Schizosaccharomyces pombe: one gene and its partners. The protein of the gene in region 1 interacts with the protein of each later gene in a biochemical or structural test. Each region holds a gene or a part of one and is shown on either strand. Other genes may lie near its edges.

What was found.
Region 2: the proteins of act1 (region 1) and myo52 form a complex in vitro, tested with the Schizosaccharomyces pombe proteins (one study listed by BioGRID).
Region 3: the proteins of act1 (region 1) and fim1 form a complex in vitro, tested with the Schizosaccharomyces pombe proteins (one study listed by BioGRID).

Annotation. Positions count from the first base shown.
Region 1 is NC_003423.3:1,474,985-1,479,058, reverse strand, and holds act1 (actin Act1), read left to right. Parts: upstream 1-1,725; 5' UTR 1,726-1,782; coding exon 1,783-2,910; 3' UTR 2,911-3,574; downstream 3,575-4,074. Other genes in the region: spore wall alpha-1,3-glucan synthase Mok12, read left to right, coding at 1-955. UniProt on the Schizosaccharomyces pombe protein: Actins are highly conserved proteins that are involved in various types of cell motility and are ubiquitously expressed in all eukaryotic cells.
Region 2 is NC_003421.2:2,224,177-2,233,204, forward strand, and holds myo52 (myosin type V), read right to left. Parts: upstream 5,765-9,028; 5' UTR 5,556-5,764; coding exon 5,527-5,555; exon of another isoform or gene 5,468-5,526; coding exon 5,359-5,467; exon of another isoform or gene 5,350-5,358; intron 5,285-5,349; coding exon 872-5,284; 3' UTR 706-871; downstream 1-705. Other genes in the region: tif6 (translation initiation factor-like ribosome biogenesis protein), read left to right, coding at 1-81; BAR adaptor protein Mug137, read left to right, coding at 7,585-7,610, 7,677-7,686, 7,794-7,869, 7,913-7,960, 8,018-8,122, 8,161-8,719, 8,767-9,028. UniProt on the Schizosaccharomyces pombe protein: Involved in cell wall deposition where it has a role in the localization of mok1.
Region 3 is NC_003423.3:3,105,537-3,111,855, forward strand, and holds fim1 (fimbrin), read right to left. Parts: upstream 3,273-6,319; 5' UTR 3,206-3,272; coding exon 2,972-3,205; intron 2,896-2,971; coding exon 1,407-2,895; intron 1,353-1,406; coding exon 1,231-1,352; 3' UTR 706-1,230; downstream 1-705. Other genes in the region: guanyl-nucleotide exchange factor Lam2, read right to left, coding at 116-183; SPOM_SPBC1778.07 (carnosine N-methyltransferase), read left to right, coding at 4,425-4,926, 5,044-5,663; arc3 (ARP2/3 actin-organizing complex subunit Arc21), read right to left, coding at 5,922-6,064, 6,161-6,319. UniProt on the Schizosaccharomyces pombe protein: Binds to actin, and functionally associates with actin structures involved in the development and maintenance of cell polarity. Plays a role in cytokinesis. Plays important roles in mating and in spore formation.

The DNA of each region.
Region 1 (4,074 bases):
CATTTCAAGTTCTACTGGATCGCTGTATTTTGCATGGAATTTTGGTGCCGAAGGAGGTATCGCAACTCATCATTGGATTTTGAGGGCCTGTCTTGTACATGGGATTCAACAGATTTGGTCTGCAATCCTCTGGTCATGGGGAGATCTATTATCGAAGAAAGATTTGACTCAAAATGTGGGGCCTGGCATTTTTGCAGGGGGACTTATCGCCTCTTTCATTTGCTTCGGGCTTTCCTACGTAACATTCGCAGGTTTACCTGCTTTTTATCGCCAAGCTCCTTCTATCATTCCAGCGTTTTATCGTTCATTAGGAAAACGAAATATTGTAATTTGGTTTTTTATCTCTCAAATTTTAATCAATTACTGGCTTGCTGTCCCTTATGGCCAGGCTTGGAGGTTTTTCTGGAATACTAGCAACACTCCTTTGTGGAGCATAATCATTCTTTTACTCATTTTCTTCATCGTGGTTTGGGCCGTTCTCTTATCAGTTATAAAGATTTTGTCTCTTAATAACGTTTGGTTTCCAGTGATATTTGGATTGGGCCTCATTTGTCCACGCTGGTGCTTAGAGTTTTGGTCATCCTCGGGTCTCGGAATTAATTTACCATGGGCTGGTAAGGCTTCTGCCTTGCTGACGAAGTCAGTATGGCTTTTGCTAGCTCTATGGGACGGGATACAGGGAGTCGGTGTCGGTGTAATGTTACTGCAAACCCTGGCGAGAGATCATGTTGCTTTCACGTTGATGCTAGCGCAAGTTATAAGTTGTATTACAATTATGATCGCAAAACCTTCTCTGCCTGTAAGTGATCGAGTATTCCCAAATCTTGGTGCATGGAATCCTAGCGAAGGACCGGGACCTTGTGCATCACCTTGCTTTTATATTGCACTAATATGTCAATTTGTAGCTGTTGGAGGATTGCTCTATCACTATCGTAAAAGTCAGCTTGCTCTTTAGTGTTTGATCTACGATAATGAGACGGTGTTTGGGTTGTTTTTACTGAATTTTTCTTTTATTTTATGACATCTTAATTTTTATGTTAATGATTATTCTTATACTTTTATCTATCTTTGATTAAAACTAATATTCATTCTTTTGATCACTAATTATTTTTATAGTATACGATTCAACCCAACTATAATACATTGTATCAAGAGAAATTTTTAATTAGATGTAATTTAATAGCCATTTGATAAAAAAAAATTACCTTTTTTTTTGCTAGTGTTAAATTATTGATCATAACAATGTCGAATGAATACTAATAAAATAGGGACACGCGAGTTGCAAATACTTGAAATACCTTTGAAGATTTGTCTGTGAATTTTGATAAGATTTTTATGACCATCTCTTTTATATTCGATATCGTGAACTTTCATTTTCTTTTGTTTTTTGCTTTTCAAGTTAAATAACGCGGAAATTATATTTCCTTATATGTTTATAAGAGCTTTTAAAGGATTTGCTATATCGCTTACAGTACTACAACCGGTTGCTCAATGTTATCCGTTTCCGCGGTCTTCTTCCGTGCGCATTCTGCCGTGAAGTGCTAACGCTGTGTGTGGCTTTATCAAAAAAGTGGCTCAAATATAGCAATTTCATACATATTTAAACACCCATTATACTTAAATGTATATTTTAAAATATATAAGAGATTTTCACTGTATAACTGTGTATCTTATCTATATGTAATCAACGGCTTCATACCACCTCAGCCAGCCGTGTTATAACTTACCGTTTACCAACTACATTTTTTGTAACGAACCAAAAAACCCTCAAAAGACAAGACCATGGAAGAAGAAATCGCAGCGTTGGTTATTGATAATGGCTCTGGTATGTGCAAAGCCGGTTTCGCTGGAGATGATGCCCCTAGAGCTGTATTCCCCTCGATTGTCGGTAGACCCCGTCACCATGGTATTATGGTAGGTATGGGACAAAAGGATTCCTACGTTGGTGATGAAGCTCAAAGCAAGCGTGGTATTTTGACCTTGAAGTACCCCATTGAGCACGGTATTGTCAACAACTGGGATGATATGGAAAAGATTTGGCATCACACTTTCTACAACGAGCTTCGTGTTGCTCCTGAGGAGCACCCTTGCTTGTTGACTGAGGCTCCTTTGAACCCCAAATCCAACCGTGAGAAGATGACTCAAATTATTTTCGAAACCTTTAATGCACCTGCCTTTTATGTTGCTATTCAAGCTGTTTTGTCTTTGTATGCCTCTGGTCGTACCACTGGTATCGTCTTGGACTCTGGTGATGGTGTTACCCACACTGTTCCCATTTATGAGGGTTATGCTCTTCCTCATGCTATCATGCGTCTTGATCTCGCCGGTCGTGACTTGACTGACTACCTTATGAAGATTCTCATGGAGCGTGGTTATACTTTCTCTACTACCGCCGAACGTGAAATTGTTCGTGACATCAAGGAGAAACTTTGCTACGTCGCTTTGGACTTTGAGCAAGAACTTCAAACTGCTGCTCAATCTTCCTCCCTTGAGAAATCTTATGAGCTTCCTGATGGTCAAGTTATCACTATCGGAAACGAGCGTTTCCGTGCCCCTGAAGCTCTTTTCCAACCCTCAGCTTTGGGTCTTGAAAACGCCGGTATTCATGAGGCTACTTACAACTCTATCATGAAATGTGATGTTGATATTCGTAAAGATTTGTACGGTAACGTTGTTATGTCTGGTGGTACCACTATGTATCCCGGTATTGCCGATCGTATGCAAAAGGAGATTCAAGCCCTTGCTCCTAGCTCCATGAAGGTCAAGATTGTTGCTCCTCCTGAGCGTAAATACTCTGTCTGGATTGGTGGATCCATTCTTGCTTCTCTTTCTACTTTCCAACAGATGTGGATCTCCAAGCAAGAGTATGATGAGAGCGGACCTGGTATCGTTTACCGTAAGTGCTTCTAAGCTCCTCTTACTTTTTGTAACGTTTTTTACATACTTTTGAATAACATCGATTCTTCTGATATATATAAATTTCAATCTTTTTTTACCTATTTAACCACCTTTTTCCGCTCTTAACATCTCATGAGGAACTTTGGGTATCAATTATTGGAGTGTTTTATATACTTTCTGATTACTATCGTTTTCTTGCTCTGTTTTCTTTTTTTCATTATAGACGAATGCAGAGCTAGCCTTTTACATATTGAAGTTACAGAAATATTTCCAGTAGATACCTATGATGTTACTTCATTCGCTTATAACTTCCCGTTTTCTTTAACATGTTTCTTCTCGAGTCCGGCCGATTATTTTTGTCGATATTTTCGTTATGTTTATCGCTGTGATTATCGATTAAAGAACTGTAGTAAATGAATTTTACTTACTCCCGTTAATTTTTACGAATTTTATTTTGTACAAGGTGGTAACTGCGAGATAGTTAGAAGCGGAAGTGGTGCAATGTACTTCATCAGCCATTTCTTTTCGTCCTGTAGAGTTGTATCATCTTCAGTACTGATTTAATTGGTACCTGAACTTGTATAACTTTGAAGCCAAATGGTTGAATGTGTTTTACATTAGTATTAGCAAAAGTTTATTAGGTCAAAAAAAGATTTAATACATACATGGTATATGATCATTGTTGGATAGTATAGTTGAGGTAAAATTCTTATAAATTGTAAGACATTGGTATGATTAGTGTTCTTCAAATATAAAAAGAGAGGAAGTAGTGAATTATGAAGCTGTAGGAGATGGAGCCCGATTAGCCAGTTGTATAGTTGAGCGATTAATATATAGTGACAAAGTAATTTGGACTGACGACGCCTCTCTGTATAAACAAATCCAATGATATTACATTCCTATGACTTTATTTAGAATTGTTTCGTCAACATATATTATTACAAGAGATTATTATTTTTTTTTGTAGTATTATGATAATATTAAAACCATTGTTCAAAGAATAAGAGAAAAATGTTAACCATATTAAATAAAATAAGTTGCTGCTGAAACATGGAAAGAAAAGATCCATCGAAATTTGCAGAACATGTATGAAAAAGGATGGCCAAGACCCGGTGCCTGAACTCGTGACAGAGTATAGACGCATTAAAACGAACGTTAAATGATGTTGATGAAAAA
Region 2 (9,028 bases), on another chromosome or scaffold:
GAATCTATATTTAAACTTCAAGATGCTCAACCTTCTGCTATTATAAGCAACAGAGACACTCTTGTTGAGTCTTATACATAAGCAGTCGGTGTGAGCTAACTAAAAAATTATTGATCAGGATTTATGAGTTTGGATAATTCATCCTACGTGATATTTTCCTATTAAAGTTTTAATGTTGATACGTTATACGTATGTATCTGGTTATAAAATTTTTGATATGCCTTTCGGTTTAATAGTCCTATCCATTGTGGTACCCAAGCTTCCTATTGTAGAAATTTACAATACAAGTTTTTTATAGACCATTATAACACTTAAGGGACTTCCGTAATCGTGTTTATTTTTATTATGTCAAATAGATTTTGAAAATGCTTTTATTGCTTTGCTTTTTGTCTGTTCTTAACACATTCGGATTTGTTAAGCTATTCTCGCTTATAGAGTAGAGCTTCTTGCTAACGCTGCATGAGACTTCGTACTTCAATTTACGTGTTTTATTAAGTAGTTTGCAGCCTTTATATTAAAAATGATCTAATAAATATACTTTCTTTTCAGTCTTTGGTGACAAACTAGTTATGGAAAGTATTTCGATGTAGGTATTTTTTGACTGAAACCAATGCGTACTCCGCAAGCGAAATAAATATTTAAGAATAAATTAAGTTACCAAGTAACTATACAAAGTGGGGAAGTAGAATAGACTACAATACTCATAGATATTTATATTTAGCAGTAAATAAAACTCGTAAAAGATTGTCATTATCAGGATGTTTTGATTAAAACTTCCACGGAAACTAAGGCCCAGCTCCAAATTTTGAAAGTAAAACCCCTAATTAGGGAATAAATAAGTAGGCAGAGCACCTTGAAAAATAACTAGATATTAAACTTTAATACCATTTGGTACTTGATTTTCTTCGTCGCTCGAGTTCTGTACATCATTGTCGGCTACGTTGCCTACAGTGATCAAAGCTTGCTCAACACTTTCTTCTGCACTAGCAAGGTCGATGATACGACGCAAATAGGTAACATTACAATCATCTGGTATCTTTATTTTTTCAAGAGATGGAGATTCCTCAAAACTATCTTGTAGTCTATAATCCAACACTTCGTAAGTAAGTTGTTCCCTTTGATTGATGCCTTCAGCAACAATATTTTTGGACAATTCAGACATAGTTTTTTTCGGTACATGAGCCTCGTAGTCAGCATAGTCATAACGATGTAAGAGTGTTTTTATTTGCAGAAAATTAAGAGCATAAAAGTCGCGGACCCTGGCCACATAATTTGGATCATCTTTCACAAATTGTAGTATCTTGGAGGTTTGTAAAAGCTCTTCGAGCTGCAAATAAGCTTCCGGAACACCACTTTCTAGACACCAATCCTTAAGAACATGATAATTGTATGAAATATTGGTACCACGTTTCCAAGATCCACGTTCATCAATAAAAAGTGAATTGAATGCCTCCACATTAATGAATCGATATATGCTTCTAATCAATGCATTATATATTTCATAATTAACTTTATAGGCCTGACAAGAATCATGCACCTTATTTAGTACATGTATTACATCGGTGATTTTGTATTTTGGTTTCTCAAAAAATTTAATCCGTAGTTTTCGATTCTCATCTCCAGCATCCGTATTTGTACCAGTAATAATCATTGCCTGAACAATCAATGGCTTTAAAAAATTATTGACTTGCCTAACCCATTCGAAAAAGATTTTTGACAGATGTGATTCAATCATCTCAAAAATGGTTTGCACTGATTCATGAGATTCGGTGGATAAAAGAGTGAAAGCCGAGGAATGTTTAAACGCCTGCTGCTTAGTATAAACAAAAGCCAAGAGCGCATGTGTATTTGCAACCCAAAATCCGATGTCAGGTCTCTCATTAGCAGATGATGTCTTTTGAAATACGTATTCTAAAGTGTGGACACAGTAACGCTCAACCAAGGCAACACTTTCCTGACACAGATTTGATTTCCACATTTGTGATATTATTATAAAAAGTAGTTTTGCTAAAAACAAATGATCAAGTTTCTGAGCCTCAACATCGTTGTCCTTTAGTAATAGAGTTTTAAGAGTTGTAAATGTTCTACCTGCATATTCTGTGAGTTTGTCAAGATCGTGCTTCAAGCCATCGTTCATTAATAGCACAAGCATCTCTTTTTGAGTACGCATTTCCATCAATGAACTATCACGACGTGATTTCTCTTCCGAATTGCGCGACTGTTCGATACTAGAGGCCGAATTCAGTATTTTAGTGGCTTTTGTCAGACTAGCAATTATCCTGTTTTTCTCTTTCAACTGAGAGGTTTGCTCAACAATAATCATATCGTAATTTTTAAGCTGCGACTTCAAAGTTGCATTTACTCTTAAAAGTTCGGTATTCGCATCGTTGACTTGCCTCATCTCCTCTTCCATCATAATCAAAGCGTTTTCTTTCTCTTCAAGTAACTCCTTTAATTCCCCATCTTGAGATTGATCCGATATAAGTACCCTAGTTTGCTCAAGTTCTCTTTCTTGTGCTAACTTTGCTTCAGCATAGTTGGACAGATGAGACTCCAATTCAGCGATTCTTTCCCTGAACTTGTTATTTTCCTGCTCCGAGTTGTCCAACTGTTTTGAAATCTCAAACAATCTGCTTTCAAGCCTGTAAGATACTTGCTTAAGGTGACTCGCTTTAGTGGATTCAATTTTTAATTCTGTCAATTGTCGCTTTGCAAGTTTCATCCTCCAAAGAGACTGGATACGAACTGCATAATATTGTAGTTCTTTGTAGTGCTTATGGGCTTTAAATGTTAACCAAAGACTTTGAATAATTAATGTTGCATCATGCTTTGTCTTTTCCTCTAAAGTCTGTCTTAATAAAAAGCCTCTAATTATACTTTGCACTTTAAGTATAGAATTTTTCGTTTGTATGAATTCTTTTCTCTTTAATGCAGTTCTCCAAAGTGACTGAAGTTTAATAATATTGGAAGAAAGTAATTCGTACTCCGTATGGCGACGAGATAAGAAACCATGAGCAACGGCTTGAAAGCTCCTGACTCTCTTCCGAGACAGAAGAAAACGAGTCCTATAGTAATTAACAGCAAACGCTTCATACAAAAGATGTGCTGCATGTTTCAAAGCTTTGTCTCTCGCACTCTCTAAAAGGGGCGTCACACCTGAACGAAAAAATATTTTAGTTTTGCCAATTTGATATTTAGTCGGATCAGCATGTTTCTCTAAAATTGCCTTGCTAAAGGTCAAAGACTCCGTAGTTCTTACGGCAGAGGGAACCAACATGTAATAACGAGAAACAAACTCATCAAAAGTCCAACGGGAGGGAAAACCAGCACAAGATATTTTTATAGTTTCTAAAACACCGCATGCTCGTAACTGAGAAACCACCATTTGGTTATCAAATTTCCAGGCTTCTTTCTCTTCATTTGGCTTGATACAACGAATATAATGAGCATTAGTTTCGTTGATGGTACTCATTAGACTAACCAAAGAGCTTTTAAACATTGAACCAAGAGTATTACTTTTTGGCTTGGTTTTTATTTTTTTGGTATCGGCTGGGGGTGCAGTTTGTTCAAGACGGAATAAAACCAGATCCTTGACAAAGGGAACGTCTGAATTTGTAAAAAGCTCCAACAACTCATCGGATATTGTATCACGGTTTTTATCAATAAATCCTTCGGCACAGTAAACAACGTCAAGAGCATAATGCTTAATTGTAAACTCCTTGTTACCAAACCTTGATTTCTGATAACTATTTTTGAATTCTGGCTTGGAGAATGCATCGTTCAACTTACTAACCCAATTTTCATCGCTGTTCGTGGGCATTCGGCATTCTTCGTCTAAAAGGGAAAGAATCCCTAAACGACTCTCAATCATGCTAATACATTGCTGATTGTCTTGATAATCAATATAGGACCAGTTAAGTCCCTCAGCAGCATACTCCTCCTGTTCCAGTTTGAAAACATGGCGATAAAATTCCTGTTGAAGTTTTTCGTTCGCATAATTGATGCAAAACTGTTCAAATGAATTTTTTTTAAAGTGCTCGAACCCATAAATATCTAGAACACCAATAAAACTTTTAGCCGTCTGGTTCGATTTATCAGCTGAGTACATCAAGGCTTTATTAATAGTAGCTACCAGCCAGTCGAAGAGTGAAGCGTAAAGGAATTTCGCTACTGAGTCTCTAGCTACTACAGCTTGAAATTCGTTCAATGGTTTCAAAATACCTTCAGAGGCCATCTTTATTTTACGCTTCGTTAACCATTTCACCAATGAAGAAGGATCCACGCCCAACAATGAAGTAGCGTTTATCAGATTTTCGTTTTTTGAATCAATGTATGCATCATTCCTTGAATGCTTAACCTCTATGTTACCGATATGCAGCAATGCAGCTAATAAGCTAAATATGCATTCACATGTATCATTATCAATGCCAACTGTTTTTAATGCATCAACTGTAGCTTTAAATTCCTCTTTATCATTGACGCCCTCAATTGTAGAACAATTTCCCTGTTTTAAATAATTAAATTCTTGAGAATTCTCAACAAGTTTCCACTTTTCAAGTTGTTCCGAGGATGAACCAGCTAAAATCTGATAGAAAATATGATAATTTCTTTCTTGATTAGGCTGAAATACTAATCTTGATCTTTCTAAAAGATAAGTTTGAATTTTAGCACCAATGATTGTAGCATTTCCGTCGAACAAAATTTGAATATATTTACCAAAGCGAGAAGAATTGTCATTTCTAGAAGTTTTAGAATTACCAAAAGCCTCCATAATCGGATTTGTAGCAAGTATCTCATTCTCGACAGCAGTTAATTGTGGAGCTTCATGAAAATTGGAATCGGTGGATTGAATAAGTGCTTGCACAGAAGCAAAATACCGCATTATGTATCTTGCGGAAACAGTTTTTCCTGCTCCTGACTCACCAGATATAATAATAGTTTGATTTTTATGCTCTTGATTCATGCACTTGTAGCTATCTTCAGCAATAGCATAGAGATGGGGATCTAGCTCATCCCGAGATTTCTCCGAATAAGCACGTACTATTTCGTGAGTGTACAAATTTGGCAGTCTCTGAAAAGGATTTACTGCGATAAGGACAATGCCAGAATACGTATAAATTTGAAGTTGGTTGTACCTTGTTGACAAAGCATCCAACACTGACGGCTCATTTAGGTATGAAAGATCAGTAAGGTCATCAGCATCCGAGTTAATGGATCGAAGAAACGGGAGGCCGTTTCTTCCTTCATAATTTAAATCGTCTGGCTTCACTGTAATAACAGTTTCCTAACAAGATCACATTAGCTAATTAATCTCAATTGACCCAAAAGGGATACCAAAGAAAATAATAATTTTCGTACGTTTTCGTTTTCATCTTGTACCGTTAAGAAAGCTTTCTCACCTTCAACTCGACAATCCTTTATGCTTCCAGGGATCCATTGGCTTTGCTCATCTGGAATCCAGCATTGACTACATTTCGCAACAACAACATTAGCAGGATCCTTTAAAGACGATTCTAATAAACTTACAGTCCCTTGTAATAAATCCCCGATGTCATGACCGGTAGAAATTACAAGACTCCCCGAACGCCTAATTTAAACTAAACACAGCGTTTTGTTTACACACAAAAATAGATGTTTGCTCAAAAAATGTCGCAAAACAATATGCAAATGCTAAAACTAATAGAAAAAAAGTTTACTAACGCGTTTACGTTATTTCAAAACTTTCTTCTTTACTTATGGAAAATACTCGTTCTCTGCTGATGTTAATATGGAGATGACTTCGCTGAGACAAAGTAATATGAAAAGCGAATTATGCAATTTGATAAAAGCGCATAGTGGTTTCACTAAAGTTCATAAAACCTCAAATAAGAATCAAACTTTTACCATTAAGAAATCACGCTATGTTATGATATGTTAACTATCACTATTTATTATGTTTTTAACTTTCAAGGTTGGCTTTGTTGAAAAGTACAATTAACATTTCACATTTCAATACGGCTAGTGAGTTAGTTTTTTGCTTCAGAATTACTATAATTGTTATTTCAATTATCAAGTATATAAGTTATTATAATATTAAATAATGTTAAGTTGAGCGTAAGAATATTTATTACCAATCGTAGTAAACATACATAAGATTATAAAAAATTGCAATAGAAACTCAACTACTTCATCGTATTTAAAAACAGTTGTCTGTTTACTATGCAATTTTGTAATTATTTTAACGATACGTAGTAATGCGGTGAGCTTTCCTTGCGACCTATAATATTGTAATACATAGGTTATAAAAGTAACAATCAAGTATAGGTATTATAATATAAAGGGTATATTGTTATCTATCACAAATGTAGCTTATTGCTGAACCTCTTTCCTCAGTTCAGTAGTAGCTATCTTTTATAGTATTCTAATAGCAAGAATCTTTATCGAACATCATTAAGATCAATTTCAATATCGTATCATCTATGGTACGATGACAAGTAGAACATGTGACATATAGTGACACTCGACGTAATGTATGATAGCGTAGTGCAGTTTTACTGGCATATTATCGAACTGCATTGCTGATATTAATAACTAATACCGAGCTAGCTACGATTTTTATCAGAAAACAGTATGCTAAATAAGGCAAACTAGTGCGGCTTAGAATTACTAGTAAAAGAGGAGGTAAGATGGTACAAACATGTAAATAATACCATTCAAAATCAACGGTTTGAGCAACACAATGGATTTCTAACAGTAAAACATCAGATAAAAAAAACAGAATATTATATATATCATAATTCTTTCGTTTTGATAGATAATTTCGTGCTCTCGTTATATATTCTTGTACGAGAATGATTTACTAAAACCGTTTGGAAACAGGGATATTTTCATAAAAAAAGCAACTAATAATCTAACGCTTTGACTCAAAGACAAATTCGATTTAGATAGTATATGTTTCTGTTTTCTCTTCAAAGAAACTCAGAAGATGATTACTCTCAAAATGGAGCATCAATACTAAATATTAATTAATTGGGCTATGATTTCGATTAAAAAAGAATTACAAAAGTAAAAAGTCTATAAAAGACATGTTTCTTCGAGATGAGAAGATGTTTTGGAAAATGTATAGTCTGCAGCATAAACCCAAAAGAGAAAAGAAGAATTATAAATGCATTTACATATTTTTAGGCCAAACTAATTATGAAAAACCAAATAAGGTAACTTAGTTAATAAAATTTATAAGGAATCAAGTTACTCAATACTTTTAGAACGTCTCAATTACAAACAAAAAAATGATAAACCTTCGACGTAACAACAGCTTCCCTCAAATCAATTATTTTTAACACACTTAAGAAAAAAAAATATGTATTTCATTACGTTCAACATCATAATAAACGCATCCCCTCCGCTTCCAAAATTTTGGGTAAACAAACAAACAAACATCGCTTATATAAGAACCTTCTCGGTAGAGATATTGATCCTTTAACACACACGGCTGAAGTGATTTAGTAAGCAAAGAAGTAAATTATCTTTTCTATAAGTATCGTTTATGCTTAATTGTAAAGACTTTTGAGCACAACGCATGCGTATGGTCGATGAACCATCAAAATGGTGTCTAGATTTTTTTCTTGGACGTAAGGAAATATTAAGAAGGAGAAAGGTTACGCAGATTATGAAGATTATTGACCCCTTTTTTTTAGAAACGAAAAAGTGAGTATACCTTTCCATGGCGAGTGAAACTGAGCCGATGTAGTGTTTGTTCAAAATACTCAAAACAACGAACGAAAAGAAAGGAATTGTATTACTGACCTTATTAGCCATTGGGAGACCAAAGAGCACACTTGCCTGATAGTTTTCTTGAACTTGAGCAAGAAATAGCGATTCGAGAAGAAGGTGAGTAAATATGCTGCAGACAAAGTTTCTTAACATAATGTAGGACTATCTAAACTATTTCAAGCAACGACAATATGGATTGATTCAATTTGTAAGTAGAGATACATTGACGCCAAAACAATTATTTTACTGTTAACAAAATAATTAGTAAAAAAGGTCGATGGTGAGGATAAAGAAAAATGTCTTGCTTGTGAAAATCTAGGGAAAGTGATGATAAATCATTCAAAAGAGTTACCACAAGACTCAAGCTATGGTAGGTAAGAAAAGCCTTCTGCCTCTATTAACTCATAGGGATCACCTTGTCGCAATTAGGAAAAGCCAATCTAAAGATTGGAGAACATCAAACGTCTTTAGCATACAAAGCGAGAGTATGTTATCTCGATTTTTTAAAACGTTATCTAGTACAAGCCAAGGATTTTCATTCTGCAAGAAAAAAATTGGAAAGCCGAAGACAAGCATACGAATCTCTCCTACAAAAGTCTTTTAAAGAAAAGAAGGAAGATTCGCGTTTAGAAGAAGATATTCGCCTGGCGCTGTACAAGTTCGAAGAATCCACCGAGCAAGTAAAGAATCGGATGATCGCATTAAAAGACGTTGAGGCTGATCAGTACCAACAATTAACAGAACTAATTGTTTATGAGCTAAACTTCTTTAAAGAGTCGACTGGTATTTTAAATACAATATTCAACTCTCAAAACTCATTGACGCCTCAGAAAAAGATCCAAAGTAGCGAAAGAAGCGTTGAAAATGAATTTCTTGCATCACCCATGGATCCATCACTTAGTAAGTTATTTACTAAGACCACTAATACTGAAAAAATATCACCAACACCGTTTTCTACTCCGAAAAGGTAAGTTTAAAGAGTAAAAAAATTTTTTTAAATACGCTGACCAATAGAAAATCGAAAAAGGAAACAGTTTTCGTCAAAGCAATTTATTCATTTACGGGAAGGAATGAAAAAGAGCTCGATTTGCACACAGGGGATGTCATTCAGGTGAGCGAACAACTTGGACCGGATTGGTACATGGGCGAGAAGGTAAATAGTAAGGCAGAAAAACTTGGGAATTCAGGAATGTTTCCTGTAAACTATTGCACTAGGATATATGACCTCCATGTTCAAAAATCACATGAAACGAGATCTCTCGAGAGGGCGCGTTCA
Region 3 (6,319 bases), 1.6 Mb from region 1:
TGTTAATACCTCAGAATATTTCAACAATAAACTTATATATCTAAGCTCCAAAATAGTACAGGTGTACCCACTGGATTTGAAGTAAGAATGAACTTCAAATTCACTAAATGCTTACATGATAGACGGTACAGTTTCCTCAACTGCCTGTTTCATCAACGACGACAACTTCTTTGGCTTAATCATCTTCGAATTTAAACTTAGATAGCAGTAAAGGTAGCAATATGTATTTTAAAGTCCAATCGGCAATAACGATTTAACCTGTTTTGAATGGTGGTTATAAGTAGTTTGTAAGCTACGCAGTTTGGTATCTGATTTAAGGATACGTAGAACTGCGGTGAGTTTTCCTTGTGGTCTATTATATTACAATACACAGGTTGTATAAGTAGCAACTGAGTATAGGTATTGTATTAACTGGGTTATAATGTTACCTATCACTAATATAGCTCATAACTGAACTGAGGAACGAGGTTCAGTTGTAACGCTATTTATAATATTTCTAAATAGTTGTTATCAACGGGTATCTATGTATATAGAAGGATAGTTACCCGTGATTATCAATAAACGGATCTTAGCTAGTATTCCAACATATGACATATAGTGATACGCAACGTAGTGTAGCATAGCGTAGTGTAGTATTGCTGACATAGTTGGACAATATACGGTGGACGTAATGTGTATTATGTTAAGTAATCTGATAATAAATAATATTGTTATAAGATTCCGAATATTTTATTAAAGTAAAAAATGTTAATCGACATATATACATTTTTATTTCTTTTTATTGTGTTTGAAAATTAGGGCTTGGTAGACCAACGTTCTCCCAACGAATGCTTTATTTAGAAAGCTGATTTGCATATGCAGTCCGTACTATTTGGGCCTACAGAGACTTACCATTAGTTACATATACAAATGATCTTCCCTTCATTATGAAATTAAAAAGCTAACTATTTTCTACAGTTTGAGAAAAAATGACTACGTTTCGTCGTGCAGCTTCAGAATTCCTCAAACATTAATTAGGATAAGGATTACCCAATACTAAAGGGACAAAAACGGGTTAAGATGTATCATAAAACAACACAAAGTTATCTATAATATGACATACCACTAATAACATAGCGAGTCAAAAGCGACGTACTCACTTCCGAAGTTGTTCGCAATATAAGTAATTAAATTGGGAAAAACACATGTGTTAAATCGTTTCGTTAAAAGCTATAGTTAAGTCGAAACAAATTATACGGCCATTAAACTGCCAATAAAATGAAGGACCAACCGAGGACGAACGGCCACAATATCTTCTGGCAAAATAAAGATTACGGCACCCAACTTTCTGGCGATAGAAATAGCAAGACGAGCTAAACGATGTGTTAGTAATGAAAATTAAAAATATATCAAATATATATACATACCATTTTGAATAGCAAGTTCTTCAGTAGAACCATCGGTAACAAGATTGTAATCAACATATTCGCTCTTAATTCCATGAAGTACGTCTAAGACGAACACACCAGTGGAAATAGAAGGATCACGGAATGAACGAATTTGAGAACCTTTACCACCTTTAGCAGCCATAGAATTGGCCCACGCAACCATGTCACTATCTGAAAGAGTTTTACCTCCACGGCTAAGACTATGTAGAGTTTTGGTAATGTTCATACGCATCATTTGCCAAACCAATGCTAAGGTGAGTGTACGAGAACCGTCAGTAATATCAGCACCTTGTATTCCTACCAAAGAAAAACCTTGATTTTTTCCAAGGTCCACTGCATAATTACAGTTTTCAACAGCTTTGAAACGCATCATTTCATCTCCAGATGCAGGTGCCTTGTTCACCTTTTTCCAGTTAACGGTATTAGGTGTGATTTTATCGTAAGCTTGCAACAAAATCAAGCCATCTCGTAAATTATTGAAGAAGTCATGAATGGATGGAGTAACATCAAGAGAGTTCAACCACAAGGTAAAAACACGTGCCTCACGCTCACCTTCTGCATCAAATGGTTCAATCTCCGGCTTTTCCTCTTCATTTAAAGGCTCCAAACCTGGATGAGTATTAAAGAGATGAGCAACAAAGGCAAGGTTAAGCTTAGGGTTCCCTGCAACCATAGCGGTAGGTGTAAGATATTTGCGGCAATCCAATTTTTCAGCATTCTGTAAAACCTGTTCAGCACGCTGCAAAACATCTGTAGTTTGAAGAGGAGCACGTGAACAGAGTTCGGGAGCTAATTGGTTGAGCAGCACAGTATAATTCTCGCCATCTGAAACATCTTTTGAGAAGTTAGAGACAGTACGCGGCCAATTGGCAGCCTTTAAGTGATAATTGAACCAGCGGAGAAGAATTTTCTCAGGAGGGAGACGGAGAAATTGGTCAAGGGTTTCATCCTCTTCGAGAAGGCGGTAAAGCTCGGGATGTAAAGTAATATCAATCTTTCCAAGGAGACCGCGGCGAATGATTTGCCAAACAAGACCAAGAATCAAATGTTCACGACCTTCTAAAATATCGCCGGCACCAATGTTGGTAATGGAGATACCACCCATAGCTTTTGCGGAGTTAATAACAACATTGTTATTTTCAATACATTTGAAATTATCAAGAGGCTTGTTATTTCTCTGTTTATTGAGTACACGCTCATCAATGGTGTCGGGAACGCTGTCATTAATTAACTTTGAGAGGATTAAACCATCTTTGCATTGATCGAAAAACTCAAAGGTTTCAGTGTTGATGGGGACTCGGGAACCAACATCAGGGTCTCCAGCTAAGACGGAATTAATATGCTTGATAAATTCTCTTCGCTCTTCCTCATTAATGGTATGAGAAACACTTGAGGAAGATCCTTTGATAGTAATCCGACCCTTTTTTACTTCAGTACCTTCTACACCTTTTTTTAAAACATTGAAAATCTATATGCATTAGTAATCCAATTGATGAAGCGATATAGAGACACATATCGTGAAAATTACGGAAAACATTACTTACTCCTACAAAGTCTTCGGGTTCAACACGTCCAGACGAATCAACGTTAACTTCACGAATTGCTTCACGGACCTCATCGTAAGAACCCTTCTTTGAATCTTCAAAGGCTTTAATAGTGGTAGGTTGATCTAAATATCCCTTTCCATCCACATCAAGTTTGTTAAATTGGTCGGTTAAGGTTAGAATTTCCTCATTAGTGAGCTCCGGATACTTCTTTTGAAGTTTAAGAGCTAACATTTCTTTAAAAGTAAAATTTGACCAAAAAATGTATAGTAAACGAAACCACACGATGTGTGCTTTGGGTGGCTTGCAGTTGCTACGTGACAAGGATTAACGTCGTGTTGTTGATGCACATACATCATACTTACAGAAGCGTAGAGCAAAACTTTGATCCGCTCGCTAAATGAGTTAATACACGTTTGCTTAGCCAATCTGTTAAAAGTTAATTTGCAATTGTAAAAAGTAATTTACTACTTGACGATGTCTTGCGTTGTAGCTTTAGATTGAATATATAGCTGGGATATCAACTACATTGAATTTTAATTTTTTTTACAGAATAAAAAGCTAAACGTAAGTCCATATCAAATTAGCGATATTACCGAATTCAAATGCCATAAACATCACAAACTAGCAAGCTCTTTCAATTGAAGTCAACTGATGCATCGACTTGAAAATTACTTAGTACTATATGTCAAGAAGCCAAAATTTCTACTTACTATGATAGTAGATCCTTTGTAAAACGTTGCAGAAAGTTTTTCCGGCCGTGAAAATTCGTGTTTTTTTTCTTTTGTTCAAGGGTTTAGGTCACTGAAGCCAACAATTTTTGATACAATATAAGAAAAAGAAGTAATTCCCGCTTTTAACTGCGCAATAGGATAAAAGATTAGCCAGATGTCACAGGGTTAAACTTTTAACCTGACTACCTTTTCACGTGTATTTCCAGTCTCGTTTATAAGCTGCAATATAAATATTGTATGATATTACTGCGTGCACCAAGATTCTCTTATATTATTTTCTTATAATCTACAAAACTCACAATACTACTATAACGATGCTTCAGAAGATTAGCTGTTCCGGTATTGTTGAAGCATGGTGAATTTCCTTTGCGGCTGCTGTTGTAAAATATTGTCTGACAACTATCCAAATAAAACCTATGGGATTTTTGCAAAAGGCAAACACTATTTTCATAGAGGCACCGCGTTGCAGGGATTTTCAGCAGAGATGATTCAATATTGCAATCAAACACAGTAGATATAAACATAACTTGAAAAGCTAATGAAATACATAAAACATAATTATATTAACCATAATATTCTTAACTTATTGGTTTCTTCAACACTTCCAACTTCAATGAAGCAACAAGTTAGAGGTTTAACTTCTCCACAACGCCAAAATTGCGACTTAGATGATAAAAATATTAAAGTCTAGATAGAGCTCAGAAACATCAAAAAAAACTATGGAATATGATGAGGAAGAAGTAAAAGTTTTGAAAGAAGTTTTAAGCGCGTTCTTTTTGTACAGGCAATATGCTCATACAATAACACAACAGAAGAGAAAATCGATGAGCAGGTTGTCTTTTGAACACAAGGACTTACTCTTACAGGACTCTGACAACAATTTTTTAAAGCATCTTTCAAGGATTGATCAATGTATCGAGCAGAACAGCGTGCTTGCTGAAGCAATCGCTAACGCAGCCATTCCTGTGTTCTGCAGTGATTTCGATCAAAATGAGTTATTTCATGTCAATGTTGATATGATGCAAAAAGTTTCAAGCACTCTCAAGCAAATTGCGAGAGATTGGTCGACCGAATGTGTTGAGGAACGCCGTACTACATATGCTCCTTTCATCGAGGAACTAAATTCACTTTTCCCATCTGATTCTATAGACAGATCTAAAATTCGTGTACTTGTTCCAGGTTCCGGCTTAGGAAGATTGGCCTTTGATATAGCTGTGGAAGGTAGGTACACTTGATACTATCAATCAAAAATAGCATGATTTATTATTTATCTGATTACATGTTTTCTAACTTCTTTCTAAATTTGGATTTTTGGACATAGCTTCTAACATTTAATAGGCTTTGCATGCCAAGGAAATGAGTTCTCATATTTTATGCTTTTAACGTCGCATTTCATACTGAATTGCGTAAAGCAGGAAAATCAGTTTCTTGTGTATCCTTATATTCATTCATTTTCGAACCATGTCATGCGTGATGACCAGGTGCGTTCATTAAATATTCCTGATGCAGTTCCCTCTCAATATCTGCGGAATTCACAAAACTTTTCAATGGCAGCCGGGGATTTCCTGGAGGTATACGGCACCGAAGAAAGTCGTGATTCGTTTCAAGTAGTAGCTACCTGCTTCTTTATAGACACTACAAAAAACATACTGGACTATTTGGATACAATTAAAAACTGTTTGGTAGATGGAGGTTATTGGATAAATCTCGGGCCTTTATTGTATCATTTTGAGTCAGAAGGTACTTCTAATTCTAACAGTGATAGCCAGCAACAACCTTTCGTTGAATTGACTCTCGAGCAGCTGTTTTACGTGATGGATAGTATGGGATTTGAGGTTTTAAAGCACAATTCGGTCGACACGACTTATATGGGGGACAAACGAAGTATGCTTGAATGGATATACCATCCTCATTATTGGGTCTGCCGTTTGCAAAAATCAAAATTACGATTTCAATAAAAATTTTTGAACCAACATTGAATATTACGACTTTAATCATTCAAATATTCCTTTAGCATAATTAACAAAGCTAATTGATAACTTGTACATGAAAGTAAAGCGATTATTTTTGCATCTACTATCTACGTATAAAACTGCCTACATTAAATAAGCCATTCGTACGCTTCAAAAACTTTATAAGCCGCATTTGAAATAAAGGAAACGGAAAAACATAAAGGCTTTGAAATACAGTATGAGCCAAATTATTAATTAATAGACTCACAAAGCTTTGTTCATAAAACGTCTCTTGCTGAAGCAAGTCCACCACTTGCTGGGATGATCCTTTTCAGTTGCATATACATGGGACAAAAGACGATAAGCAAGTTCCTGACGAAATTGAGTAAGATATGTACGCATTATTTCTTTTTTTAATAGTTAGCAAATGAAAAAAAAAGCAAGAAAGCTATTAGCGGCACAAACATCTATATGTCTAATGCCACAGTTTGGGTGAATCTTACCAGCATCTTGAGGAGAAAGGGGAGGAGCATATAATGCATTCAAGGGAAAGCCAGCAGAGCCAGGAATAGAAAAATTCTCCAACGCTAAACTATTAAGTTGACGTTCAGCATCACGATAATTGAGTCCATTAACTCTTCCCAAGCACTCACTGATAAATA